Rhinolophus ferrumequinum: one gene and its partners. The protein of the gene in region 2 purifies or fractionates together with the protein of the main gene of each other region. This does not show direct contact. Links are inferred from orthologs where the notes say so. Each region holds a gene or a part of one and is shown on either strand. Other genes may lie near its edges.

Region 1 (6,825 bases), about 44 Mb from region 2:
TTTAACTTAAATGTGTGCAAAAATTACCTGGAAGGCTTGTTAAAACAGACTAACTGGGCCACTGAGAATTTTTTCCCCTAAATTGTCAGACGATGGCCCAGGCATTTAAACCAGGTAGTATACTATACGTCCTCACCTATCGCCTTTCCTACCCTAGAGCACAGCCCTCATGACCCTCCTCTGCGGAACCAACCCCCCCCATCCTGGGCTTTGCACTGAGTACTGACTAAATTCCAAACACCCAGGTAAGGCATTCCAATTATTTCATAGTCAAACTGCACAAAGAAATCTTATCAGTAGCCCCAGCTTCAGGGCCAATCTAGTCACTCCATGTCCTTTATAGGCCAGGCCTCCTCACGTTACTATCTACAGCTCACAGAGATAAGTGACTAGATCTTGAGCTCTCTCACATATGGAGTTGAATGACTTCAACAGGAATCCTAACCTCCCCTCCCTGGAGTTTTACTTTTGTTTTACTCCCAAAAACTTAGAACAGTTCTCCATCATCACACTGACCACTCTTTAAATACTTGCTTCTTTACTAGTCTTTCTTGCTAGAGTGCCAGTTCAGCAAGGACGTGGACTGACAGTAGCTTTTGTTAAAACCCTCAGACATCAGCAGTCTGCCGAGTAGAAAAGTTCATTTGAACAAGACGACAGACACGCCACATTCTAATCCACAAAAACAGGGACACTCACCTCCGCACAGCAAGGCCTCCTAGGAGTTTGTAACGCAGAGACTCTGCCTGGGCAATTGCACACAGACCTCTTGTGGCCACCTTTTCAGCATACAGCTTTAAAAAAGAAACAAGGTATATCTTTCAACATGTTCCTTTCATCATTGTTTTCGATTAAAAGTGAGCACATTCGCCATACAAGCATACAGGTTTGTATAGCTTACCGCAGTATCGCTCAAATACTAAAGCACGTCTACTACCCACACCCAGCTCACGCTCAGTGACCTAGGCTGAGCCAATCCTCATTGCCCTCCCCTCGCACAGCTCTTCCTACAGCCAAACCAAGGAGACTGATGGGGCAGCCAATCCATCATATGTGTCATTACCATACCCACGATGAATGTGAAAATCCCTTAACCACCAGAAATGAGCACTACTCACCGACCATAAATAAACAAAGTCTTCTTCAGTGTGACGGTAAAGGTTTTTAGAAGTACCATCGTAAAGAGCCATTTCTAGGTTCACAGTAACCTCTAGCATCAGTCTGGATCACTCACCTCTACACTGCCCTCAGGAAAGCCAAACCTCTTCTGAACCACAGCAGTCAATTCCCGGATCCTTCGGCCCTTCTCACCAAGAACATTCTGTGTCCTGTGGAAAATAAAAAAAAAAAAGTGACAATTCACAGCTCTCACAAAATTCCAGATGTAAGTTCAAATCTTGCATGTATGCAGCAGTAAAATCTCATTCACACAATACAAGCAAGTATAAAATTCGGACGACAAGAATAGACTAAAAAAAAAAGGCAATAAAAAAAAATTACATTTCCTAAGGCCAAATTCATTGGCTGTGCCCTTAAGTTTACCGAACGAACCCACGTTAGTGTACATGCAACAATTACAGGTGATGGCCAGGAGAGTAAGTTTTTACCTGGTGGCCAAAATAATGATTTCTGTCCTGGTTGGTGTAACTCGGACCTCAACTCCAGAGTAGCCATCTTCAGCCAGCTCCCGAGTGAGAAACTCGTTCAGTTCGGCTTTGAAGATGCCATCAGCAACAAACTAACCAAAAAGTAAAGTTCAAAATTAGGTTGTGTGTAGACTCACTTTTTCCTGCCTACTAGCCTTCCAGCCAATACAACCCTCATCAATTCAATACCTCCAACTAATTCCCCACCGTCAATCAGATTACCCTTGTTCCAACAGGAATGTAGCAACCCTTCTCAGACAAATGCCTCTAGGTCATCTTTTGGAAGTTACTCTGACCCAGGACCCTTAAAACTGTGTCACAGAACGCAGCACAGAGCAGGGGCACCTGGACAGACAACACCTCCAGTCAGACTCGTCATCTTCTCTTCATTGAAGGGTTTTAAAGACTGTCACTTATATGTACACAAATTAAACGAAAAACTTCTAAAGTGGCACATTTACAACTCATTCATTCAGCACAGCAGGACCACCAGCCAAGTGACAGATTAAGCAGTCAGTCACACTGCAGGCACAACCTGGACCATCAGAAGAATCCCAGCCATGTTATCTTGCCTTACTGGATGTACCTGTCTTACCGACCCGGCAAATCCTCACAAAAGCTCGTGGATTTAATTTTAACATGGATGTAAGTATACAAACAATGTCTAATTGCCTATGTCTAAAACTAATGAATTTTACTCTTTCCTCTCATGAAAAAGTGAGTTGAACCCGAGGAAGCGTTCTTCCCAGGTCTCCTAGATGGAGCAAGAAGTTGTCAGCTGCTTTTCCAGTTAAGGCCTTTGGGGTCTGAAGGCTGCACCCAGACACGAGTATTAAGGCGGCAGGAATACACTGCTACCTACCTTTCCCCAAAACCATGATGTTAATATCTGAAAGGAATGGCTCATGCCCTCAAAATACCACATTTACTAACTTTATTCGTCGAGCAAAAAGTGCTCACAATCGCCTTCTCCGAGGCAGGAGAGGCACCCGGTGCTCATCTCTGCTCTCCGCCCGGAACCGGCAGAAATCGTCTCCTTTCTCCGCCACACCGCACTCGCTCGCCTCGGGCCCCGTACTCCATCCACCGCCATCCGCGGCCCACGGGAATGCCTCGGGGGCTAAGCCACTTCCCAGGGTAGGGCACGGACCTCCGGGTCCCGTGACAGCACGCCGAGAAGCCCCTGACTCCCGCGGCGCTGCGATCCCCTGCACCCGGGCCCCAACGTCTCACCTTCCTCTTCTTAGAAATTTGCACCGCCATCTTGCCGCCGTGCGCCGCCGAAAGGAAAGGAAGTGGCTCGCAGGCGGAAGTGGGTATAAAGGGCGCGGCGTGACGACAAAGAACTGCGCGACGTCGACGCCTGTGGGTGCTCATGGGAAATACAGTTTTTATTTTAGGAAGGCCGTCAGGGAAAAGGAAAAGTAAGGGAGACACCTACAGGCGGAAACAGGCGGAACCGATCAATCTGAACTTGGATATTGCTGGGGAACTTAGAGTCCAAGTCCAATTCTCATAACTGTAGTTTAAAAATGAGCAACATGAGGTGTAGAGATGAAAATTACAAGTATAACTCACACAGGAACAGAGTTTAACAAGCGTGGAACCCTGGTCCCTACACTCCACACTGAAATGAAAATTGACTGAAAGTCTACAGTGAAATTCGTTTAGGCGCCCAGCTCTTCCGATCTGTTTTCATTTCCTCCGTTCCAAATGATAATATCTTGAAGCTTTCTAGGGACTGTTCTGTGTGCTTTATATTATTAACTCATTTATCCCTACCTCACGTTCATAAAGTCTGTTATAACTTGTAACAGAAATAACAAAGGAGTGGTTCATGGCCTCACAATTCTTTTTCAATTAAAAATAGTCCCCCCTCCCCCACATTTTACTATGAAAATCTTCAAGCGTACAGAAAAGTTGAAGGAATTGTGCATCCGCATATATGCATCACGTAGGTGCTGCAACGACCATTTTTGCTCTATTTGCTTTATCACGTATCTATCCATCCCTCTACCCACCCACCAATGCATCTTTTGACACATTTCAAAGTAAGTTGCCGACATCAGTACACTTCACCCCTAAACACTTCAACAGAGTTATTTTAAATTTGAGAATAGTTTGCCTGCATTTAAAAATCAGTATATTTCTCTCTTAAATTGTTTTAGGTTATTCTTTAAAAATATAGAAGGATCTAGCAAAATATCAGGCCTACATTTCCTCATGACTGTGTTCTCCTTCCTTGTTAGATGGCAAAAGGGCTTTTCCATGTGCCCTGGCAGCTTCATTCATTTCTTGTCTGGTCCTAGAAGCCATTTGAGCTTTTCCCCACTAGTAAAACAAGTCTGACGCAAAGATCTGTCCTGTAATCATGGGATTAACAGAGTTCTGGAGGGAGCTGAGCAGAGGGACCAGGGAAGCTGAAAAGAAGTGGATGAACCAAAGAGACAGATAGGCTATGGATCTGATGCATCTTGATGATGAATTGAGGTTAAAGGGGGGAATTGAGAATGATGCCCTGGTTTTCCTTTTTTTTTTTTTTCCCCCTAAGATTTTACTGGGGAAGGGGAACAGGACTTTATCGGGAACAGTATGTACTTCTAGGACTTTTTCCAAGTCAAGTTGTTGTCCTTTCAATCTTAGTTGTGGAGGGCACAGCTCAGCTTCAGGTCCAGTTGCCGTTGTTAGTTGCAGGGGACACAGCCCACTATCCCTTGCGGGAGTCGAGGAGTCGAACCGGCAACCTTGTGGTTGAGAGCCCACTGGCCCATGTGGGAATCGAACCGGCAGTCTTCGGCATTAGGAGCACGAAGCTCCAACTGTCTGAGCCACCGGGCCAGCTCTGATGGCCTGGATTTTGACTCCAGTGGTGGATGCTTGGTGACAACCCTCACTGAGATGAGGAACCCAGGCACAGGTTTTTTTCTTCACATGTCATCTCCCTCTGTTCTTCACTTCTCTTTTCATCCAGCTCATGGCCTGTTAATTCAGTGTTGCCAGGCTGCTAAAATTTCAACCTAGGTGAATCTGCCTACCTGACTTTGCTTTGCTCTCACTTGGGATGTGGGCACTGTGGGAGAGCACCCAGCCTTGCATGCTGGGGTCAAAATATTTCCTCATTCAGCTATGGCTCTCATTCTCCCACAGTGCCTATCATAATCTTTATCAAATCAGAACTGTCTTCTCATTCTTAGCTGTCAACCTGCCTCCTAACCTATTGCCCCCCCAATAGATTGTACAGGCAAGAACTGCCTCTCTGTCCTATAATTGTACGTGTCCTTGGCCATCCTTCCCTACTCAGGAAAGAGACCCTCTTTTTGACCAAGGTCAGCCTCCTCTGTGTGTTCTAGTTCAAGTTTAGTTCTATTCCTTTGAGACCTTGCTCTAGCAATCATGCCTTCCCTTTGTGTGATAGATACTCTTCCTTTACTGGCTGTTTCCTTCCCCACCCCTCGTGTTAAATATGTTACTTCCTCCAGGGTTATGATGCTGTTGGTTGTAGAACAAATTTTAAAAGATGTTTTGTTTTTACTGCATTGTATCATTGCTCAAGGACTCACATTTCTTACTTACAATAAAAGTAAGATCCAGTGTATGGAAGGGCATGAGAAAACGAGCAGTCTCACACTGTAGGTGGGGTGTGAACTGGGCATCTTTTTGGAAGGCAACTTGATGATACCCACAATAATTTAAGCTATAGATTCCCTTTGGCCCAGCAAATACATTCCTTTGTATCTACTCCAGAAAAACACCTACACAAACATACATGGAGGTGGATGCAAGAATGCTCACTACAGCCCTGTTAGCAATAGTGAAAACATAAATTAAGAACAGCTCAGGGCTGGCCCGGTGGCTCAGGCAGTTAGAGCTCCATGCTGCTAACTCCAAAGGCTGCCAGTTCGATTCCCACATGGGCCAGTGGGCTCTCAACCACAAGGTTGCCAGTTCAATTCCTCGAGTCCCACAAGGGATGGTGGGCTGCGCCCCCTGCAATTAGCAACGGCAACTGGACCTGGAGCTGAGCTGCACCCTCCACAACTAAGATTGAAAGGACAACAACTTGAAGCTGAATGGCACCCTCCACAACTAAGATTGAAAGGACAATAACTTGACTTGGAAAAAAGTCCTGGAAGTACACACTGTTCCCCAATAAAAGTCCTATTCCCCTTCCCCAATAAAATCTTAAAAAAAAAAAAAAAAAAAACAGCTCAAAGCCCTTCAGCAAGGAAATAGTTATGAAATATTATGTAATGACTAAAAAGAATGAGGTGGCTGTATGTACACACATGAAAAGAGCACCAAGAGATATTGCTATGTGACAAAACAGATGCAGAACAATATGGACTATATAATATTGATGTACAATAAAATAAAAACATAGATGAATACAAATGATGCGTAGAAGAATCAATAGCCAACTAATAGAGAGCTAAACTTACTTCTGGGAATGGAGCAGTACTGAGGGGGTGGTAAAAAGGCAATTTACTTTATTGCTCAACTTTTCTTACAATAAAAATATCACTATTTACTTATGAATATCACATATTACTTATGAAATTGAAAATGAATAAAAAAAGAAAAAAAATGCAAGGGCCACAAACAACATACATGGATTTCTGATCATGTGGTCACTTGTGAAAAAAATGTGAGTGGACCAGCCTCCAACACCAAATCCCATAATCCTGTCTTCTGAAATCTTAGGGTAAAGAAAAATTTATTCTCTTAATCCAACTATAATTCTCTACTGTCTGTCATGGTAGCCACTGGCCTCATGGGCTATTAAGTACTTGAAATGTGGCTGGTCTGAGTAGAAAAACAGCTCTACCTGTAAAATACAAGTATATAAAAAAAGAATATCACAATAATTTTTATATTGATTACATGTTAAAACAATAACATCTCAGGTGTATTGAGTTAAATAAAATATGCTATTAAGTTCACCTGTTTCTTTCGCTTTTTTTTTAATGCGGCTACCAGAAATTTCAGAATTACATATGTGGCTTATATTTCTGTTGGGCAGTGCTGCTGTACTCTTTCAACGCAGAAATCAATGGTGTTTTCTTTTCTTTGTTTCCATGAGATTTGGCACCGTGATTGGCAAAGAGAGGGCACTTAGTTACTGTTTGCAGACTTATTGAACAAAAGAAAGCTTATAAGGAGTCTTACCAATCTTGTTGCC
Region 2 (7,219 bases):
CTAGAGCCCTTTTATATTCATTCATCCTGTTGGTAACTTAATTAAAGACTGCAGTTAATCAATGTCAGCCCAATTCATCTGTGAGCTTTCATCATTGAATTATTATTCTTCAACATTGTCTTGTTCCTGGGAGTGTATTTCCTGCAGTCATTAGTACAGTTCTGGGCACATCATTTCTCACCACATATTGGAAATGTCTGTCTCCCATGTGACTCCCTGCCAGCCTGGAAGCTACGCCACAAGGGCAGCTCTGGGTCTTCTTTGCCTTGTCCCCCAAGCCAGCAGAGCCGAACACGCAAGATGACTGAACAAAGCCAGAGCACCTCTCGCAGGCCAAGGTCTCCTCACAGGCCCATCCCTCTCCCCTTCTGTACTCCCTGGCCACTCACGGTTGTCAAAGATGGGATGCGAGAGGACAGGTGACAGGCGGAGGGGCCTGCCTGATGGGTCCCGCACTGTCACCTGGAAGCAGAGCCGAACAGCATTCAAATCGTAGTCCCCGCGCTGCTCTTCTATGGGAACTGCCAGAAAAATGACGGTCAGGAGAGCCAGGGCAGGGGGCACTCAGGGGCAAGGAGCTCTGGGCTGGCAGGGCTGTTTGAGGGTGTGTGAAACAGGAGTCCTAGAGGAGGAAGAGAAGGTTCTAGCCCCATCGCTGACCTGTATGACCCTGGATGTCATGTCCCCTCTCTGGGTCTCGGTTTCCCCAATGGTAAATCAGGAATGTGTACTAAATAGGCAGCGAGATTCCATCTGTACTTTGAGGCTCGGCCAATGAGGGAGAGATGCAGGGAAGGAAGGTGGCCTTGGAAGGGTGACAGGGTGGGGTGCTCCTTCGCCCCCTCAGCCCTCACCTTGGAAGGGGTTGTTGTTGGTCTGGATGCGCTGACTGATGGCCTGCTCCAGGTCCCGCTTCTTTACACACTGGATCCCCAGGTTCTGGAAGCTGAGTCCCCCCCAAGCATCAATCACACTGTCTCCAGCAGAGCCTGGGCCCTCCTGCCTTGCCCCTTCCTCCGCCCCGTGACCAGATCATCACTCTGTGCTTAACCCCCTCACTGTGCTGCAATGAAACCCAATCCGGACTCCGAGTGACACGGGCTTCTACCCTGTGACCTGGCACCAGCCAAGTCCCTGTGGCTCCCTACTCTCAGGCACAAGGGCTTCTTTCTGTTCTCCAAACTTTTACTTCAAGGCCTTTACACTTGTTCATTCTGCTTGGAATGTTCTCTCGTGCTTCTCTGTTCTTTCTCACGGTTCAAGTCTTTCCTGACAGAGGCCTTCCCGACCTCCCAGTTCAAATTAATGGGACCAGCTCCCCGGCCTGCCCCAGCCCAGGCCGTTCTACCAATCTATTACTGCTTTATTTTCATCATCAAAATTGTTACACTTGAACAGTATCTTGTTTAATTATTTATATATTTATTTACAGTCTCCTGTCCATAAGCTACAGGAGAAACTGTTGGCTCAGTGATTTTCTTTCTCACTGCATGGAATGTGACACTGAGGGACTCGCCCTTCCAGCCACAGGGGTTAGGGGGCTTAGAAGTAAACAGAGACCCATCCTCATCCCACCAAGTTCATGTCTGCTTGGGAGAGTAGACGCACAGATAATTTCAAGACAAAGGAAATCCGTTTGCCAGTAAACAGTGCGAGTTATGCTCTGTGTCCAGAAAGCAGTAACACTGTAACAGCGACACAACTGCATAGCCTCTTGTCCTCCCACTTCACCCCCCACGTCCTGCCCGCCTGTGGGGTGTTCACCTGTGGATGCAGCGGTCTGGGCAGAGCTCAGCCTCATAGAAGCCATCCCGGCAGTCTTTCCCCACGAGCTCGTGAGGGTGAGGCCGGTGAGGGGGGTCCTTGGTGACCAGTGAGATGCGAACTGTCCCTGGCCCCGTGTAGCCATTGATCTGTCCAAAGTACAGAGAGCACCGTAGAGGCTCAGGAATTCCAGACCCAACTCCCAGACACAGATTGCAGGGGGTAAGCCTGCTGGGGTTTCACGGTCCCACCCGCTGACTCCATGCCAGGCAGCCGGTGCTGACCTTGATGGTGGGGTGGGTCTTGGTGGTATCAGTGCTCCTCTCGCCTGGAATACTGCCTGCTGAGCGACCCTCGCATTTGTAACGGAAGCGCATGCCCCGCTGTTTGGGCTGCTCGATGATCTCCACATAAGGGCCAGAGGCCTGGGCTGGCTCTGCGGGGAGACACCGGGCACATGGGCCAACCCCCATCAGGCAGCTGCTCCCACCACTCCAACCCTGGGGAGCTCCTCCAGAGCCACTGAGGAAAGATGGTCCACTTACCTGAGGGGAAGATGAGCGGGTACAGGTCTGAAAGGGGAGAGACAAGCGTCAGCACAAGCCCACATCCCATCCTCACCAAGGAGAGCCTCCCAGGGAAACTGAGTCAGGGCCTGCTCCCTGGAAGCTGCGGGGGAATCTAAGGGGTGGGAGTAAAGGAGCCAGAAACACCTGTTTCCTGAGAGAACACTGGGGATGGAGTTCTCCCCTTACTGGGGGAAACTGAGTCAGATACATTCTCCCCTAACAAGGAAACTAAGTCAGAACTGTCCCCTTGTGCCCCGAGGAGGAAACTGAATCAAAGCTCCCCCTTTCCCTCCACCCAAGGAAAATACTGAGTCAAGGGCCCCTCCACCCAGAGGGGAAAATGAGTCAGACCCCTCTACGCCTGCCCCGCCCCGCGCCACCATCCGGCCGGCCGCTCCCTGCGCAGCGCCCGTCCGCGCAGGAAGGGGCGGAAGGTAGCGCGGAGGCTCTCGGCGCGGTCCCTCCGGCCCCAGTGCGGCCATCCCCCGGGAACAGAGGACGCCCTCACCCTCCATGGCCGGGGTCCCGGGGGCGGGGCCGGGGTCGCAGCTGGGCCCGGGGCGCGCGTTACAGCAAAGCCATTCGCCAGAGGCGGAAATGCGACGCGCGCGCCCGCCGCCGCGTCACTGCCGGGAAGCAGCCGCGCCTGCGCGCCTCGCCGTCGCCGCCGCCGCCGCCGCCGCTGCCGCTGCCGCCGCCGCCCCCTGTGGGGCCGGGAACCACTGGGCGCTGCGCCAAGGACGGAGAGGCAGCGTGCACGCTGCTGCCGGAGACCGGCAGCAAGTGCGCCTTTCCAGAGACCGAGTCGGTCCGGAGGCCGCTGGCCGGGAGGCTCGGCTTGCTTCTGGGTCTGGGCCCCGCCTGGAGGGCGGACCCGGCGATTACTCACAATGTTTTTAGGGGATTTCGGGGCCCCCTCCCGCCAATCAGAGGAGTTTGGTGATGTCACCCGGGCCGGGTCTGGAGCAAACCTACGACTGCTGGGCTCCTGCCGCCAGCCCTGCTCAGGGAAAGGCCCGTGCCTACTCCGTCTTTGGCCGAGTGACTGAATTTCACAGTTTCCTAATCGCTAAAAGGTGTCTTTTGGTGATTGTCGCCGCAGAAGTACTTTTTAAATTTCCCATCCACACTAATTTAGATGCAGCGGAGGGAAAAGGGAAGGGCCCGGACCTCTTCACATGGCGGTGCTTTGGTCACTGGGCTAAGCGTGTCCTGCTGCACGCAAGGGGCGACAGAAGCTCCGTACTGCGTCCGCTATCGCGGGCGGACCGGGCCGAGAGCTTCTCGCTTCCAACTCAAACACCAGTTTAAGGTGCATCACACTGCCGGCCCTCGGTGGCAATGGGTTAAGCATAAGGCGCCCAGGGGTATATCAACTGGAGCCTCGTCTCTGCCACCTGACGCCTGTTATCTGAGAAGGTCCGGAACCCCCAGGGGCCGCTTAGAACTCGCCGTGTCTCGCCGCCGCACCCCACGCCGCCCGTCGTCTCCCTAGGACCTCCTGCAAGGGACCAGCCGTCGGCTAAACCATTTCCACTGATTAACTGTCATGTGATTCCTCAGGGGGATATTGTCCCCAAGTTCAAGCCCTAGGCGGCGTTCGTGCGGGATGAGGGTGGAGGCTGGGGCTGGAGCACCCTCCACCCCCGACCGGTTCCTCATCCCAGAATGAGGATGCTCCATCGCAGGCGGTGGAGCCTTCTCCAGATGGAAAAAGACTTTATTTTCTCTGAATTCGTTCTAAATTAAGGAATCTTATGGGAATTGGAAAAGATTGGAAATTCTGACTTGCTTTACCAGGCTCTGAAAAAACAGGAAAAGAAAAGTGAAAATAGTTACCACCCCTCCCACTCATTTCAGTTTCTCCTGTGGCTGGCCAGGATTAGGAAAGTCAGTTTACTTTTTTGAGGAGGCTGACTTTTCAAGTCCACAGAATGGGTTACTTATAATCTTTGGTTAATGACACACAATCATCATTGATCCTTGCATGATCCTCTTTTAAAAAATTCATATATATTTGTAACAAATCAATAAATTGAATTGTTGTGCTGACTGTAAAACTCAAGGGGCTGAATAGGACACCACCAGAACTTACATCTATCTCGGTGCTCCACATCTGTCCATCCCCTCATCCCGGTGTCCAGGGCACCACCATCTAGAATTCTCTGTTTGTTATTCCCTTGACGTTTTTTTTTAAAGAAAAAAAATTTACTCATATACATGGCTACACAAATATGTTGCTTGGTTTCGCTTACTTTTGAACTTCTATGAAGAGAGTATCTTGTTTTTTGTTACTTGCTTTTCTCACTCAACATATTACTAAGGTTTATGTTTCATAGTTCATTCACTTTTTACTGCTACATACTATTCTGTTGTGTAAATACACCGCAGGTTATTTATTTATTCATCCTGCGGATGGCCATTTGGACTTCCAGTTTTCACTATTACAAGCAGTGTGGTTAAGAACATTCCTGTGACTGTCTCCTGTTGTACATGTATCCAGGAGTTTTCTTCAGTATATACCTAAAAGTGATTTATTAGGGTATAGAATTTCCCATTATCAATTTTCAAAATAATGCCTTGGTTCTCTAGCATCCTCCAAAATTTAATGCATGCATTTTAAAAAAGTCTTAATGCATGGATTTAAACACTTGATATGCTTTAATCTGTTTTAATTATTCTTATTGAAGTTCAAATTGTTCCATCTTTGGCCACTGGGAACCTTCTGAAGTTGGTTCTTCGGTCCTTTTGACACAATTCCAATAGTGTCCAAGATCTGGAATCAGACAGCTTTCTGAGGAATTCTGATTCCTTTTACTGGGAAATGGTATTTAGAGACCACAGTCTGAGTTCTAGGGATACTTATTGCTAGTGGGTCAATCATTATGGACCTTTTCAGTGAACAGTTAGGCAATATATATGAGTATGTATATTTTTATATGAAATGCACCAGGAATTCATACTCATATCTCCTTTTCAAGTTTAGGACTACAGGGTTTTAACTTAACCTCAATCATCTTACATATTCTCTCATGTCAAAAAAATCTCAATTCTCTTTTTACAGAAATAGAAAAATCCATCCTTAAGTACATATGGAACCTTGAGGGACCCTGAATAACCAAAACAATCTTGAAAAAGAAGAACAAAGTTGGAGGAGTCACACTTCCTGATTTCAAAACTTACTACAAAGCTACAGTAATCAAAACAATGTGGTACTGGCATAAAGATAGACATATAGACCAATGAAACAGAATAGAGAGCCCAAAAATAAACCCTCACATACATGGTTGAATGATTTTTGGCAAGAGTGCCAAGACTGTTCAATGAAGACAGTCTTTTCAACAAATGGTGCTAGGAAACCTGGCTAGCCACAAGCAAAGGAATGAAGTTGGACCCTTACCTAACACCATATACAAAAACTAACTCAAAATGGATTGAAGAGGGGCAGCCAGTTGGCTGAGTTGGTTAGAGCACAGTGCTCATAACACCAACATCGCCGGTTCAATTCCCACATGGACCAGTGAGCTGTGCCCTCCACAACTGGATTGAAAACGACTTAACTTGAAGCTGATGGGTTCTGGAAAAACACAGTGTTCCCCAACATTCCTCTTAAAACATACATACATACGTACATACATACATATATAGATGTAGCCGGCCCGGTGGCTCAGGTGGTTGGAGCTCTGTGCTCCTAACACCGAAGGCTGCCGGTTTGATTCCCACATGGGCCAGTGGGCTCTCAACCATAAGGTTGCTGGTTCGACTCCCGCAAGGGATGGTGGGCTGCGCCCCCTGCAACTAACAACGGCAACTGGACGTGGAGCTGAACTGTGCCCTCCACAACTAAGATTGAAAGGACAACAACTTGACTTGGAAAAAGCCCTGGAAGTACACGCTGTTCCCCAATAAAGTCCTGTTCCCCTTCCCCAATAAAATCTTAAAGAAAAACAAAACAAACAAACAAAGAAAAAAACAATAGCTAACAGGCAACTAGTTATGGCAGCTAAGGTGCATCTAAATAACGAAACACTATGTAGCCATTAAAACTGTGCTGTAGAATATTTAATGACTAGTGTTCAATTTATGTTGCTAAGTGAAAAAGCTGGTCACAAAACAGTATATACAGGAAGAACCTATTTTTGTATTCAAAAGATAGCACAATAGTTTATAGAGCAGGGGGTGGCCAACATTCTCTGTAAAGGGCCAGATAGTATTTTAGGCTTTGTATTTCAGACACAATTATTCAATTTTAGTGTGAAAGCAGTCATAGACAAAAAGTAAATGAATCAAAAGTATGGCTATGCTCCAATACAACTATATGTGGACACTGAACTTTGAATTTCGTAATTTTTATTTGTTGTGAAATATTCTTTTGTTTTCTTAACCATTAAAAAATACAAAACCATTCTTAGCTCACTGGCTGTAGGAAAACTAGCAAAGGATTGGATTTGGCCTGCAGGCCTTAGTTTGCCCACCCCTAGTTTACAGGACATTCTACCAAAATGTTCATGGTGGAAATGTCCCCCATGATGATCTGAGGTTATTTTCTCCCCCTACTGTGGTCTAGTTTTCTGAAACAGTACTCCGCCCCACGTCCCCTGCACCCCCAACTATTTGCAAGGCTCTTCCGTTGTTCCCTCTCTAAATCTTTCCTTAAGTATATACACTTCCATCAGTCCTGCCCTCAGCACCCTATTTAAAATTGCAACCAACCTGCCCATCTCCTTTACCTTGTTCATTCTTTTTGGTTTCTCCAATCACTTTTGAATAAACTAAGTAATTTACTTTTTAATATATTTACTTTTGTTATATAAACCCAACCCCCAACAATGTAAGCTCTATGAGAGCAGGGTTCTATTTTATTCACTGATGTATTCCAAGATCCT
Region 3 (7,401 bases), on a different chromosome or scaffold from region 2:
TGAATTAAACTTTATTATTTTCTATGCACTTGTATTCATTTATATGTGTATAATTTTAACAACACTTCATGCATCCTTTCACTGAAACGAACCTAGTATTTAAAAGTCCTCACAAAAAGTGAAAAATACACAGTAACAAAAGAAAATAGTAATGGTTTCATACTGCTGATTTGCATTTAACTGTTTTACAGCTACCTCCTCAAAAGATAAGCAAGGGAGGTGAATAACAAGTTTAAGTTTTTGTTGTTTGGGGACCTGATAGGAGACGAAGGAGAGGTGCTTCTAAGCCCACTGGATACCAAATTGGAATAATAAAGCTGTCTTTCTAAATAACATGCCAGTACCTGTCAGTAGCTAGTTTATTTGAGTTTTTCACTGCTTTGTTTATATTAATGCCCCCTCCCTCCTGGATGCCTCCAGAGTTAAACAAGCAGGTATTTACCTCCAACTTAATCCTGAGTTTTAAAAATATACACCAAACTCTAAAGTTCTTAAAATTTTCAATCATATTTATTTATTGCAGAAAAATAATATACAAAGATATTTACAAAACAATCATAAAAATATGAATGCATTTAGACACCGGATCTATTTGCATTTTACCATGGGTCATCAATAAATAAATAGAATGTTGTTTTTTTGTATTTTAAGTTTTTTTTTCCCTCAGAGGAAGAATGAAAAAAAAAAAAAGGAATTAACTGACTATGATTTTGCCAGTCAGTTTGATCCCAGTATTTTTACTTCTAAAGGTGTTCTTAAAATTCCTCTGATTGTTACCATTTTAAAATGGAGAAAAGTCCATACTGTTGCCTTTCCTTTCAGTGGCTGATTGGCACGACCTCTTGAGAATGCATGCATGAAAAAATAAAAATAAAAACATTCTTCGTCAAAAAAAAAAAAAGGAACACAAACAACTGTTCAGACTTCTATCAGAATGTAGAGGTGTGAGGATGGTGCCGCTGCCCGTCTGGGGATCACTGTCCACGGGCCTGTCTCGCTTTCTTTTTTAAAAGTGCGCCCCACGCCCTGTTTCTTTGGATTTGGGTTCTGCTCTTCTAATTTCCAAGAAAATCTTTGGCATATATATTTATTTTTAGTTATCCAGCTCCAGAGTCTCTAGACTGTCCATTTTCTCCTTCTCTGGAAACAATGACATCTGCAAAAACCCAAAAGGGGGTAAAGTTGGTTATTGTTTAAGTCTCTGTGGCTGTTTTCTAAGACTAGTGAGCACTTATCACCACCGAGAAATTACGCTGAACAACCTGGAAGGATTTCAGCCCAAGGGCAAGAGGAAGTGGGTGGGCGGAAAGGAGGTGGAATTTGGAAACACTGGTTGTAAGGAGAACGAAAACTTTAAAGCCAAAAGAAAGGGAGGCGCTTGCAAGACTGTCCTTAACCCAAGACCCTTGCCTCTTGTTCAGTCTTCCCTCCTGTCACGCACACTCACGCACACGCACACCCCTCCCAAAAGCGCAGCCCACTCTCCCTAGCCGGACCGACTGTCTCCAGGGACACTCGGGATGAGGTGGCGGTACCAGGTTGGGTGGGAAGGCTGAAAGGGAGAGGAGAAGGAAGGCGAGGAGGGCAGGGACCCGCGGCCTGGCCGTTAGTCTTTCTGCCACCTGAGCGGCGAAGGGGCGCAGAGGCGCCGGTCCTTACCTAGGTCTCCAGCCCTGCCGAGGGGGTGGGGAGCTCCGCCTGCTAGTGGGACGCGGACATGGACCAGGCCCCCTCCATCCTCCAGACCGAGAAGGCGTAGCTAAGCCGCTCGTGGGCCACATAGCTGCAGCTTGCCATCTTGGAGTCCAGCTCGTCGCTCTGGAGGACCTGGTAGAGGAAGTCGATGTACCTGGCCGCCAACTTGAGGGTCTGGATCTTGCTCAGCTTGTCCGAGGGCAGCGTGGGGATGATCTTCCGCAGCGCGGCGAACGCCTCGTTCAGCGACTGCGTGCGCTGGCGCTCCCGCACGTTAGCCATGACCCGCTGCGTCTGCAGCTCCTCGTAGGACTGCGGACTCCCGCCGCCGCTGCTGCTGCCGCCACCGCCCGCGCCGCCGCCGCCGCAGCCCGCAGACTTCTTGCCGCGCTTGCCCTGTGCGGGGCTGCCCGGCTCCTCACCGCCTCCGACGCCCCCGCCCACGGCCCCGCCAGGCCCCGAGCCGCCGCCTGCACTGCGCCGGCTGCTGCGCCGCTTGCGCCCCCCGCGCTTGCCGCTCGGGGGCTGCTGCCGGTCCGGCTCCTCCTCACTGTTGCTCAGGCTGTCGTCGGCCGGCGAGACTGGCGAACTGGACACGTCCTGCATCATCTCTCGGGCGGCAACGTACGGCCTTGCAGGCCCGGGGCAGAGGGGCGGCCCGGGGAAGACGAGGAGAGCGGGACGCCTCAGCCCGCCAGCTTCCCCAGCGCGCGGCGCCGGCCGGGGCGGTGCGGCCCGCCGAGGAGGGAGCGGGAGGAGGGACGGGGAGGATCTCCGCAGGGAGGGCGCGCGGGGGAGGCGGGGAGGGAGGCGGGAGGGGGAGGGGACGGTGTGGATGGCCCCGAGGTCCAAAAAGTAAGCGCTCAACGGCTGCACGCACACCCTCTCGGCCTCCTGGAAACGCTGCGGGTGCCGGCGAACCCGCGATGTGTCTGGGAGTTGGGCGAAAGCTGCAGACTTGGAGGCTCTTATACCTCCGTGCAGGCGGAAAGTTTGGGGGCAGCAGTGTCATTGGCCTGACGTGGGGAGGAGGGACTTTTCGAAGTTTTATAGGAAAGTTTCCGCTTTCCAGCCCCCCTTCTCCGTCCCCACCCCCCTTCTTCGGGGTCTAACAATTCGTCCTCCCAAACCATTCAAAACCGACCTGGCTCGGGAGACCGGCCCCTCTGCCCGCCTCCTTGCTGCCCTCCCCCTCCCTCCCCGCCGCCCTTCGCCCGCGGGCGCGGGACGATTTCCTTCCGCGCAGGAGCGGGCGCGGGCCGCGCCCCCGCACCGGAGTGCAGCCCCGGGAAGCGGCCGGAGGGGACCGTCGCGGCCGCGGTGTCGGTCCCTCCCGGAGTGGCTGTGACAGCAGCGATGGCAACAGCTTCTTCGCAGTGGGTGATGTCTCATTTCGCCACAGTACCCTCTAGGTCCGTGGGGCCGGTTGGGGATTGCTGGGGCGGGGGAAAGGCAAGACAACTGGCAACGCGGAGCCCACCCAATGGTTAGATAGACGGGGCCCTGGAGTCCCAAGGGCCAAACCACCGCGGCTGGCCCTGAGGTCGTGGGCGTTTCTGAAGACGTGGCCGCGCCGTGGGGACTGAGGATCTGCGCCCCGGCCTGCTCTCTCACCCCTCCCCTAGAAGCATCTGGCCTTCTTTTTCCCTCCACAGTCATCCAATCTAAAGCTTCCCAACACCCAGATGGACTACATCTACGAAGGTGCCAGAATGAGGCAGAAGTTAATTCTCCCGCGGAAGGCAGTCCTGTCCTTGGAGTAGGCGTCAGGGCCGGAGTGGGCAGCGCAGCGTCTTCGCCGCCGCCCTGATCGCCTGAGCTGCCATCCCAAGGTGGAGGACCCTGTGTCCCTTTCGTCCCCCTCTCCTAAATAAGGTCCTGCGTTGTGACCCCTAAAGGTCGGCTCCTAAGAGAGTGAGATGGGGGTTCAACATTGTTGCCAGCTGTGAGAGTCCCCTTCCCCACACCCCACCCCCACCCCCCATTCCTAGGAGATCGAGCGGGCAATTAATGCTTCCTGCGCCCCAAAGGCATTCCAATTATTTGGACACTTTTACATTTTAAACATTTCTATCCAATAAATTAACGAAGATCCCCTAAGAGGGTGTTAATGCAGAATCTGACAGATTGGAAGCAACAAAAGTTGGTGAGCTGGTGAAGTGAAGGGAAGCCGCTGTGGAAGAGAAGCCCATCTTTGCAATGCAAGGCTTTGTTTTTCTTTTTATTTTTTTGAACGCGTTGGGATAGAAGAACCGTTTCATATTCACGCCTTACGTTGCAAAGCAAACCACAGGTCAAAAGTAGTAGTTGGGTGGGGGGGTGGCAGATTTGGGGGATGCCGGTGTTGTGTGCCCTGCGCTCGGGTCCCTTGCGCAGGCCATGGATTAACTGAGCGAAGTGCCCCTTTCTTGGTCGGACAGAGGGTCGAGGCCGCGGGCGCCCTATGGAGGAGGCGGGAGCTCGGGCGACGCGAGGGCAGGCCACGTGGCTGTGCGGGGCTGAGGCTCCTGCAGCTTCGATTCGGGAAAACCCGGGGTCTGGAGCGCTTGGGGCAACTGAAGGGCTCAGTCTTCTAGGGGAAGTGAGGGCAAGAGGCATCTCTCCCGCGGGGAGCTCACAAGATTGTACTTTGTACTTTTTGGGGGGCAGGGAGGGCCGACTCGCAGGATTTGTCTATCACTATTTTTACGAATATTCAGAAACAATGACCACTGCATGCCAACTCTTGCTTCGCGAGTCGCTGCCATATTTTAAAATCAGCTTCTATGAAAATCAAATTCTACTTGACCTCCACTTAATAGGCAGGTCTCCACGTAGGCAGGTCTCCTTAAAACAAAGCTCACTCTGATTAGTCACCCTGGTGTTTGCATCTTCTGCCGTAGGACTTTATCTCTTGGAAGCAGTTAGAGAACAAGGCAGAAATTCTGCCCTCCTCTCTACCTAGTGTTCTCTCTTGGAAATCTGAGTTGCAGAGTATTCCGCGATTCTTACTTGAACGTGACTTCAGAATTCTTTAAAATATTCCTTCCACATTTGCCTATCTCGGTTTTTTTTTTAAAGCATCAATCTCCAAACTTAATTTTTTGTTTTTGTTTTTCCCTTTAGCCGAATTCTCAAAACTAAGGAGATCGAATAATTGGACTCTTTCCTTTGTGGCTGTGGGTAAGCAAGACAGGAAAGTGTGGGCAAAGTGTAAAGGAAACCTTACCTGACCAAGGGGAATTGGGGTTGGGGGGATGGAAATGGGGGCGGAGAAACTGGAGGAGAAACCGAGTCCATGACTGCGCAGCAGCCAGGGATCATTAGCCAGCCCGACTTGCAAAGTCATCAATCTCCAAGACTAGTTCTTAAACAAGTGAGCCCAGACCTTCTCGGGCACTAAACTTCTAGGGGGCCATTTAGTACAGGGATCCCCAGGGCTGAGGCGAAGCTCTGGATGACAGAATGCCTAGAAGAAGGTTTAAAATGAGTGACCTAACCAGAACCATCCGGGCACGGAATCTTTCTGACGGAATCAAAATGAATGACTGTAGTTCTGACAAGAAATCTCTCTTGAACTCTTGGAAAGAGTGGAGGATGAGACTGAGAGGGGTTTCCGAGTGCTCACATGTTACTTTTTGAGCCCAAGGATGTAGCTTGCCCAATGAATTAACCTTGCAAAACGTGTCGGGCTTGAAACACCCTGCTTTGCAAACTACAACGTTTCCTGGCTGGATTATCCCACCACTCTGCTCATCTGTAGCTATATATCCTACTTGACATTTTGTCTAACAGTTTTCTTACCCACTCTTGCTGGTGCACGAATAAAGGTGGGATCCCCTTCTGTGTGCTGAAGAGCCAAATGTAATTCTGCATATGTTGTATATGCAATGATAGCTTCCAAAATATTTAACCTACGAAAGCTTACTTAATTCTAAAAGCTTAATTGCGGGTTCTTAAAGAGTCTTAGAAATTTACCTTTGGGGCTGAATTCAGCCTGACTTGAAGGACCTCGGTGGAGGACTACCTTCTTTGGGAATACTGGATTAATTGGAATTAAATCATTTTGTTTACTTCTAGCATAAATTCCCTGAAAAATAATTTAACTGAAAACAAAAAAAAAAAGTTTTCTTTTGCACTCGATAGTTCAAAACGAGCTTTGTTTTCAAACTGCAAACTTGGCATGTTTGCAGTCCTGTTTGCAGTTCTTCCTGAAGAATGTGTGTGATGTTACAAATTAAAAATGCTGTTAGCAGTAACAGTTAGGAATCTCAGTGAGAATCTTCCATAAGTATGTTTATATCTGTATCTTTACAGTTGGAATATGCACTGCCATTCTCTTAGCAAGTCATTTATAGATACTTTTAGAGAAGGAAACACCCATACACTATGAAATGGTGAGCAAGTCGGTAAATTTTGGAGTTGGGGCTTGCACAAAAGGTGAGTACTTAAATCTGTGTGTACTCCTTCTTCTCAGTCTTTGGATGATCTACCACCTGTTTGCTGGCTTAGAGTTCTGTAAAATAATTTCTCAGAATTTCATGAATGAAGCATGGCATTCACACAGAAGGGGGCGCAAATTGGAAAACGCTGCAGTGGAGCAGATCTGCCAGGACATTGCACATCTTAGATTAAATCAGGTTTTGCACACTACCGGGATTTAAATGAGAAAATTTTATCGAAATGGAACATAAAGTTTATGTCAGCACAAAGGACTTTTGATCCTCTGTGTAAAAAGCAGATGCTTCCTCAGTGACACAGGCAGCCTTAATGATGTTGGAACACCTTGCCCTAAATTAGAGGTCATTCTTTTTCTCATTTAATGGTAGGTTAATTCATGCATTGGACTGATTCTACGTTTCTCTTTCGGAATTTCTTTAAGAGTGAGGAACTAAAGTTACAAGGAATGAAAATTTGAAGCTTTCAATCCAGAAATTAAATGAGAAAGTATAAGTCACAAGAAATTGAGCTGCCAAGATTACCTCAAATAAGCCAATCAAATTTTCAAATAAATATTAATTTTTCAAATAGCTGGCATTCTGCACTTAAAACAAGGATGAAATAAGGAGACATAACTTGCTGAAATTGTAGGGAGAGAAGAATCAGAGTGGAAAAGTATGGAGTTTTGAAGAGTCTTTCCTCCCTCTCTCTTTGTTAGTTTATTGGGTGTGCAGGCTAGAGAGTCTGTGTCCCATCTTTGCTGCCAAGTAACCTTGTTAAAATCATCTCATTTTACTTATTTCAAAAAATTGCTGCAATAATTGAAGAAATAATGTGATAAATTCATAGTTATTCATAGATGCTTTTGTCATGGCCGAAAACTTCCTACATAGTAAACATTTTCCCCTTCTTTTTAATCATCTGATAATCAAGCAATTTAAATGTAAATCAAATGATTTGCATTTTGCCTTTTTCCAGCTAATGTTCCCTTTGTAATCACTCACAACTTGCAACTCTTTTTACTTCCAGGGATTTTCTTTTATCCACAAATGGCTCCTCCTATCCCCAAGCCTTAAATCCTATATTCATTGTTTGGATTGATTGTTTCTGCAAAAAACATGCTGTTTTTGCCGGTGACCACAAGAGGACACAATTTCCCAGAGAACTTTGTTTAAAAAAAAGCTTAGGGAAAAGGAAAACTCACAAAAAAGCAAAAATACTACACAATCAACAAATGTCATTTGGGCATGTCTGGCTGATTTATGTAACTTTTATTAATTTTTAAAA
Region 4 (7,305 bases), on a different chromosome or scaffold from region 2:
GGCCCTCTCTATAAATTTTGTTCCTAATTTTTTTTAAACACTTAATTGTAGTCTTTATCAAAAAAGGAATTAAAATCTTGTGCTGTTTAATAAAAATAATAACCGCCATACCTACATTCCCAGATAGCACGGTATTACAACTGTGACTTTTCAGCAGAAACTAACTACTTGCATTTTATCCCACTAGAATCAAACGGAGCTATACGGAGGGAGATCCCACAGCAGCACTTACGGAGAATTCCACTATTAAGATTTTCGGAAGGGCAGTTTGGTAACATGTAACAATGTAAAATTTTCATACCCCTTAACCTAGCAATGGCATTTCTAAAAATTGATCCTAAAGGAATTACCGAATAAGGTGCAAAGATGGTTCGGCAGCATTATTTATTAGAGTGGAAAATCATAAACTCTTACTATCCACTCAGGTCGGAGAGCATAAATTGTGCACATCGTCAGAGATGTTGCTTGTTGCGAGACCCTGCAAGCTCCTTATCCCACGTTCTCAGCTTTATGACCCTGGATCTCTGCTCCCCGCACCCTCTCCCCGGCTCTTGGATGCGGCCCCCCCACCGCAGCCCGCCCACTGACTCACCTCGTCAGCTCAGGGGTGCGGTGGGTGGGGTTGGAGCAGAAGATGTTGTTGGACTTGCGCGTGCTGTCTAGGAACTCGCACACCGACTGGCTGCGGAGCTCTGCCAGGGGCCGGGCCTCGTGCTTGAGGAACCACTGGTGCGCCTCGAAGCACTTGGCGCAGAGGAGCTGCTCGCACTCGAAGCACCAGAAGTCGGCTGACTCTCTGCAGCGGGTGCAAACGGCCTGTGCATTAGCGATCTGCCGGTATACCGACAGGCGCCGCTGCAGACTCTCGAAGAAGACGTTATCCAGGGCCGGCCCGAGAGTGCCTGCGAGTTGGGGCGCCTTACAGATAGGGCACTGCATGCTGGGCACTTCCAGGCATCCTGAGCACAGCGTGTGCAGACAAGGCAGCAGCTTAGGGCACTTGGCTTCTGCCTGGCAGCCCTGGCAGCGCAGGAACTGGAAGTCCTCCTCCGTGGCTTGCTGAGGGGGGACCAGAGGGGAGGAGGATGAGGCCTGAGGTCCCAGGAATCCTCAACCACCCAATACCTGCCCCAAAGGCTGGAGGCTGGAATGGGATTTCACATTCCAGTCCAGGCAGTCATAGGATGATGCAAAACCCAGGTTTATCAGCACCCCAGTTTCCCATTTACTTAGGCCTTCTCACTCTCATTCCGCAATCTATTAAGTATCTACTTTCCATCAGACAAAGTACTAGGCCCTGAGATACAAAGATATATTTGTCTTCATGGAATTCAGTTTAGAAAGAAGATACATTAAGTATCAACCTCACATAAAGTGCTTAACAGTTAGGTGGTTCTTCAAAGTTAAACAGAGATCAACCATATGAGCCAACAATTCCACTCCTAGATATACACCCAAAAGAACTGAAAACACTGACCCAAACAGATCCTTGTACACCCACATAAATAGCAGCATTATTCACAACAGCCAGAAGGTGGAAACAACCCAAACGTCCATCAACAGATGAATGGATAAGCAAATGTGGCATATACATGCAATGGAATATTATTCAGACTTAAAATGGAAGGACATTCTGACATTGCTACGACATGGATGAACCTTCAGGTCATTATGCTAAATAACAAAAGGACAAATATTATATGAATCCACTTATAAGAAATTATCTAGAGTAGGCAAATTCAGAGACCGAAAGTAGATTAGAGATTACCAGGGGCTGGAGAAACGGGAGAGGAAGGTGTTAAGGGGTACGGAGTTTCTATTTGAAAAAAACCCCAGAAATATACAGTGGAGACGGTTACACATGGTTAATGTACTTAATACCACTGAATCATACACTTAGAAATGGTTAAAATGGCAGATCTTATGTTGTGTTTATTTTACCACAATTTAAAAAATGCAAAAAAGTGCTTACTACAGTACCTGGCACCTGAAAAGTGCTCATAAATGTTAACTAGTAATGTTAAGCAATACTATCCCTAGTTGTAATTATGCAAATAATACGAATTACTGCAATCTGTGCTTTCAAACGGGTCTGGAAGAACATCGAGCTTGTGTCTAAGTAGTTCCTTCGGGTATGTAAGGCTGGGGTTTGTCCGGAAGAAGATTAAGGCAAAAGCTTACAGGAGGAAAGCCTAATAAACCCCTCTTGGTGATAGGGGTTAGGCGAGTAGAGTGTTCCCAGAGAAGGATCTGGAAGGCTTCCTAGGGGAGAAACCACAGGAGCTGGGAGGCCTTAGCTGATACAGCTCTCTTGTCCGGGCCACGGTTTCCCATTCTGAGCTGGGATTGGGTGTTTTTTTTGTTGTTGTTGTTTTTTAACCCCCACACGTGGAACATGACCCTGGCTCCAGGCGGGGACTTTAGGGCTACTACCTCCATTCTCCTAACCTGCCGGCCTTGGTCACAGCAAGGGCAAAGAGGCAAGTCGGCGGCGCGCAGGCGGAAGTGTCCGGTCCCAGGTGGCACTGCTCGGTGGAGAATCGCAGCCCAGAGTGGCTCCCTTAACTCATCCCCTCGTTCCCTTTTCTACTCTCCCCTACCCCTAATCGAGCCAAGTGGGTCAGGACCCTGGCATCTGGTTTTCCCTCTGTGTACGTGGCCAAGTTCCCTCTGCCTTCTCATCTCTCCCACCATTGCAAATCAACAGAGCCGAAACCCCATCTCCCCAAACCCAGCAGTACCTCTGTGGGGCTGTGGCCGGGGCTGCGCTGCTGGCCTGCGGACAGGGGCTCCGGGGGAGGCATGGTGGACGTGTGGGGCAGTGCGGGGTCCTGCTGGGGCCCGGATGATCGGGCGGGTGCCAGCTCCTGGGGCATAGATCTCAGCGCAGTTTCGATTCTCGGATTTGATCTCAAGGGGCGGGAAAAGAGGCTGAACGAGACTCGTGCGCCAAATGGCTGAGTCTCCGGAGCTGTCCGAAAGTGGTGGTGCCGACTCACCGCCAGCCTCCCGGGAGGAAGTGACACACGAGCTGGGGGCGGTTCAAGGGGCGGAGAAGCCGACTGGGGGTTTCGAAGACACGCCCAGGGCGGTGAGGAGGAAGGCGGAGAGGAGACGCACAACTGACCTGGGGGTATGATCCGGACGATGGCCCAGCCAACCTGGGGGAGGCATCCCTTGCCCTCCGCTTTGAACCTTCCATCAGTTCACAGTGGTACAGCTTTGTGCCAGCCCTCCGCTGGAAGTCGGGGGACACAGAGATGAGCCACACGTGACTCCTGCTTTGGAGGAACCCCAGATCTAGTGAAAGGGCAGGCCCTCAAACGGAGATTTTTCACACTGTATTGAGACTGGCTGGAAAGGAGATTCCTCAGCTGGGACTTGAAACGGTGGGAATTCACCAGGGATTCAGAGATTGGGGAGACACTTTAAACAGAGCGAACAGCATATGCAAAGGCATGGAGGTTTGCAACAGGAGAGCCTGTTTAGAAAGTAGTTTGGGTTTTTTTCTGATTTAAGAGGGGACCCAAGAGCTATATCGGCCCAGGAGTGGGCTGGCGCAAAATCAAAGCTAAGTAGATGGACCAGTTTTATAGGCGATAGAGTCAGGTTGGAATCCAGGTACAGCGTGATGTGTTTGTTGTGCATGTTGTAAAGGTCACTCAGACAACCTAGGGGCAGGTGGCCTGGTCTAGGACAGTGGCTGTGCGATGCAAGGAGGGATCTGAGTCAGAGACACTGGAAGGACACGAGTGGAGATGAGGAGGACAGGGTGATGCCTTGCGTGACAGTTGGAAAGGCTGGTGTATCTGAGGCAGTGGGGAATAGGGGGAGGGGGAGAGCTGGTGAATGGGTATGAAGAGTGAGGAGAGAGCAAGTTAGCTATTGGCCAGCAGAGATGCATGCCAGACCCCCACCTGGTGAGGGGAGACTGCACAGCTCCAGGCGGCCTCACTGGGCCAGTGCCCCTGACTTCAAACTTCAAATCATCCCAACCGCTGTGCTGGCTCTTGGGTACCCATTCTGTGCTCAGTTACAGCTTGGAACAGGCTTGAAGGGATGGTGATAGGGCACTGCTCTTGTAAAAGTTTATGAAGGTGTGTGGAGGAGAAATGGGGGGAAACCCAAGTTCCCCGGGACTGTGTGAGGCCCCAGGAGCCGGCCCTAACCTCCAACCTGATCAGTACTCCTAGGGCTTTCGAATCAGGCCATCAAACTAGGAAAAGCCAAAGATGGTGAGCAGCCATCTGCAGAAGGGACCTGGAACTGGGCTATGGCTGGGGGACTGAGAGGCATGAGTAGGCAGACTGGCATGTGCCCGAGACAAGGAAAGCTTTATTAATTTCTTCACTCTTTTGAAAGACAGCCTGCCTCAATGCCCTATTGGAAGTTAATGCTTCTCAGATTAAATCCGCAATTTGCATTTGGGTTTGCTCAGGCGTGGAGAGTCACATTACCTCTGGGTACCTGGAACAAGGGATGTGCTATTTCGAGACCTGCAGGACTGAGGATCCCACGTCTGAGATGCTCTGGAGGGCCTGCCACGTGGTAGCTCTGTGCTAACCCTCCACTCCTTACTCCACCGTGCTCCCTGAGGTCTGCACATGAAATGTCTCTCTTTTTGTGCCCAAGTTCAGGCCCTCCCGCCCCACCTTGACCACAGTAACCTGGTCAACAAGTACTGAGATCCACTCTGTGCCAGTACCTGTTTGCTGGGCAGTGGGCACACAAAGTGCAATAATTTGCTGACCATGCCCTGGAGATACTGTAATTCTGGATAAGTACCCCTCCCCTCCCAACACACACATACACACACCCAACCCAGTATGTGAGTTTGGAGAGGGAGTGCTGAGAAGACTGGTACCATTTCCTTGATCCTGGAGAGGATTCGGCTCCTGAAAAACCCCTTACAAAGCCAAGTTCCTCTCATGCTCCTTTTCTAAGGCCCAGGCGGAACATGCAGGAGAAGGCGAGGACTCCTGCGGGCTCCCAGGAACGCAGCTCACCGTCCCGCCCCGCCGCCGCAGTTCGGTCCTCCTAGAGCAGGTGGCGCTGTGCGACGACCGGAGCCTAGCGGGCCAGCCTCCTCTTGCTGCGCGCCGGCGGGGCACGGAAACCCGGAAGCGGGGGCCGCAGGGGGGCGGCGCAGGGGCTGGCAGGTCGGGCCGCGCTCTTTGAGTGGGGGTGTGTCCCGTCAGGAGTCATGCTCGCCAGGTCTGGGTACCGGCCGCTGCCGTTGGGGGACTTCGACCGCTTCCAGCAGTCGAGCTTAGGCTTCCTGGGCTCGCAGAAGGGCTGCTTGTTCCCGGAGCCCGGCGGCGTGCAGACGGAAGCTGGTGAGTGGCCGCCCAGCACTGCGGACCCCGGGGGGACCGCCGGCATCCCCAGCGCGAACTCGCTGCCTGTCAGGAGTCGGCTGCTCTAGCGCTCGCACTCTAAGAGGAGGGAGCGAGACGGGCCGGCACTGGGCGCTGGATGCTGGCGTTGCGCGGCCCTGTCTGGGGCTGTGGGGCTGCAGCTGCGGAGCTCTTATCGTCTAGGAAGGCTCGTGCCACCTCGTTCCTCCTCCGCTCTTATCAGCTCTGCTTGCTGGGCTGTGGGCACACAAAGGAGAATAATTTGCTGACCGCGCCCTGGAGAAACCGTAATTCTAGATAAGCACGCCTGCCCTACCAGCACCCGCGTACACACCTACCCCAGTTCGTGAGTTTGGAGAGGGAGTGCTGATGTCATTTCCTTGATTCTGGAGAGGATTCAGCTCCTGAAAAAACCCCTGCAACGCCAATTTCCCCTCATGCACCTTTTCTAAGGCTCAGCGGAAACATGCAGGAGGAGGCGAGGACTCCTGAGGGACCCCAGGAATGCAGACAACCCTCCCTTTCTGAAGAGGAGGAAACCTGGGCATAGGTTTCAAGTTGCCGTTTTGACTAGAAAGAAACCAAGGTCTAGCCATAGAAGGTCATCCGCACACGAAGGGCACTTGGCTGCAGAGAAATGGCAGAATCTTCACCCCCAGGACACCTCTAGACTAGACACCCTGAGCTTGAACATCTCCCTGTTTCCTGGTGGAGATGCACTAGCCAAAAAGGCCCCTAGTGGTCTGTGGGTCTGCTCTGGCCCTGTCTTGCTTCAAAGCCTGAGTTCCACATTCCAGATCCCACATTCCTCAGCCTCACACCAAGCCGTGGAGGATTTGGTCCCTCCCGGGCCCTCCTGTAATGACAGCTGCCCCATCCAAGGGTTCCTTTCCTGCAGGGGACACGTGGATCAGGGCCAGGCAGGAAAGGAGACAGTATCCTGGGGTTCGGAGAGCCCTGAGGGTGTGCGGTTCCTGGGAAGATGGAGCAGAGGCTCCAGTCTGCTTCCCGTCCAGGGCAGGGAGGAAAGCAGAGCAGATAACCTCATCCCAGATTCTGAGGCTGCCTCAGCTTCACTCATCCTGGGCTCCTCTTCAGGGGCCAACACCCTGGGCTCAAATGAGCCTCCTCTTTCTAGTTTGCCCCTCCCCCATCTCCCACCTGAAGCTCTTTAAGTGAAGCATTCATTTGATGGTCCTTAGGGCATTAAAATGGACTGAAGAATGTGAGCTAAGAAAGAACATCTTAGCCCTCACCTATGGCTCCTATTGGTGAGTCATTAATGCTTTATCCCTTTGGGCTAAGGCATTATCTGCAAAAGGACTCCTTGAAAGCACACTTCTGGGACTGATGGTAGAAGAGGGATGAGTTATGCAACAGCAGTCAGTTCAACTCAGCTGGTGTTTACAGATGCCCAGATGCGCCTGGCTTTGTGCCATGTATGGGAAGGCAGTATAAATCAGACAACAAGACTGACTTACGTTCTGTCTGCCCAGTGAGGAGAGCATTACGTGGTTTGGCTTCTCAGATCCAGTGGCTGTTGCCCAGAAGAGAATAGCCTTGTGAGGGTGGGACTTGCACAAAGATATGGGAATATTAGGCAAGGAGGCAGATCGAGAGCCCTGAGAAAGAAGGAGCTGCTGAAGTGGGAGGAGGTCGAAAGGTACATTTGACTACGTTCACTCTGCCTGCAGTTGGCACCCCTTGCCTGCCTGTTCTCTTTCCCTAGATGCTCCTCAGACCTGGCCTTCCTGCATCTGCCACGGTTTCATCAGTTTCCTGGGGTTCTTGCTGCTGCTGATCACCTTCCCCATTTCCGGCTGGTTTGCCCTGAAGGTGAGGATGATTGGGTTGGCCTCAGAGTGGCTGGGTCTCACTGAGAGCTTTGGCATTGATGGATGATGGACAAATTCCCTGTGCTCTGCCCCCTTCCCTTAAATATTGTACG

What was found.
Region 1: the proteins of RELA (region 2) and RPS3 purify together in Homo sapiens (co-immunoprecipitation; 5 studies listed by BioGRID and IntAct, with this or other methods). This does not show direct contact. The link is inferred for Rhinolophus ferrumequinum from reciprocal best matches to the Homo sapiens genes RELA and RPS3.
Region 3: the proteins of RELA (region 2) and TWIST1 purify together in Homo sapiens (affinity purification with western blotting; 3 studies listed by BioGRID and IntAct, with this or other methods). This does not show direct contact. The link is inferred for Rhinolophus ferrumequinum from reciprocal best matches to the Homo sapiens genes RELA and TWIST1.
Region 4: the proteins of RELA (region 2) and PML purify together in Homo sapiens (affinity purification with western blotting; 3 studies listed by BioGRID, with this or other methods). This does not show direct contact. The link is inferred for Rhinolophus ferrumequinum from reciprocal best matches to the Homo sapiens genes RELA and PML.

Annotation. Positions count from the first base shown.
Region 1 is NC_046294.1:50,086,944-50,093,768, reverse strand, and holds the start of RPS3 (40S ribosomal protein S3), read right to left. Parts: upstream 3,021-6,825; 5' UTR 2,910-3,020; coding exon 2,880-2,909; intron 2,042-2,879; exon of another isoform or gene 1,895-2,041; intron 1,739-1,894; coding exon 1,608-1,738; intron 1,329-1,607; coding exon 1,235-1,328; intron 795-1,234; coding exon 700-794; intron 1-699. UniProt on the Homo sapiens protein: Component of the small ribosomal subunit. The ribosome is a large ribonucleoprotein complex responsible for the synthesis of proteins in the cell. Has endonuclease activity and plays a role in repair of damaged DNA.
Region 2 is NC_046294.1:6,052,284-6,059,502, reverse strand, and holds the start of RELA (transcription factor p65), read right to left. Parts: upstream 3,004-7,219; 5' UTR 2,849-3,003; coding exon 2,842-2,848; intron 2,337-2,841; coding exon 2,310-2,336; intron 2,201-2,309; coding exon 2,049-2,200; intron 1,914-2,048; coding exon 1,765-1,913; intron 947-1,764; coding exon 855-946; intron 522-854; coding exon 390-521; intron 1-389. UniProt on the Homo sapiens protein: NF-kappa-B is a pleiotropic transcription factor present in almost all cell types and is the endpoint of a series of signal transduction events that are initiated by a vast array of stimuli related to many biological processes such as inflammation, immunity, differentiation, cell growth, tumorigenesis and apoptosis.
Region 3 is NC_046303.1:20,389,086-20,396,486, reverse strand, and holds TWIST1 (twist-related protein 1), read right to left. Parts: upstream 2,667-7,401; 5' UTR 2,305-2,666; coding exon 1,702-2,304; 3' UTR 1,660-1,701; intron 1,157-1,659; 3' UTR 507-1,156; downstream 1-506. UniProt on the Homo sapiens protein: Acts as a transcriptional regulator. Inhibits myogenesis by sequestrating E proteins, inhibiting trans-activation by MEF2, and inhibiting DNA-binding by MYOD1 through physical interaction. This interaction probably involves the basic domains of both proteins.
Region 4 is NC_046289.1:98,761,196-98,768,500, reverse strand, and holds the start of PML (protein PML), read right to left. Parts: upstream 3,023-7,305; 5' UTR 2,877-3,022; coding exon 2,742-2,876; intron 1,060-2,741; coding exon 593-1,059; intron 1-592. Other genes in the region: STOML1 (stomatin-like protein 1), read left to right, coding at 5,204-5,336, 7,087-7,193.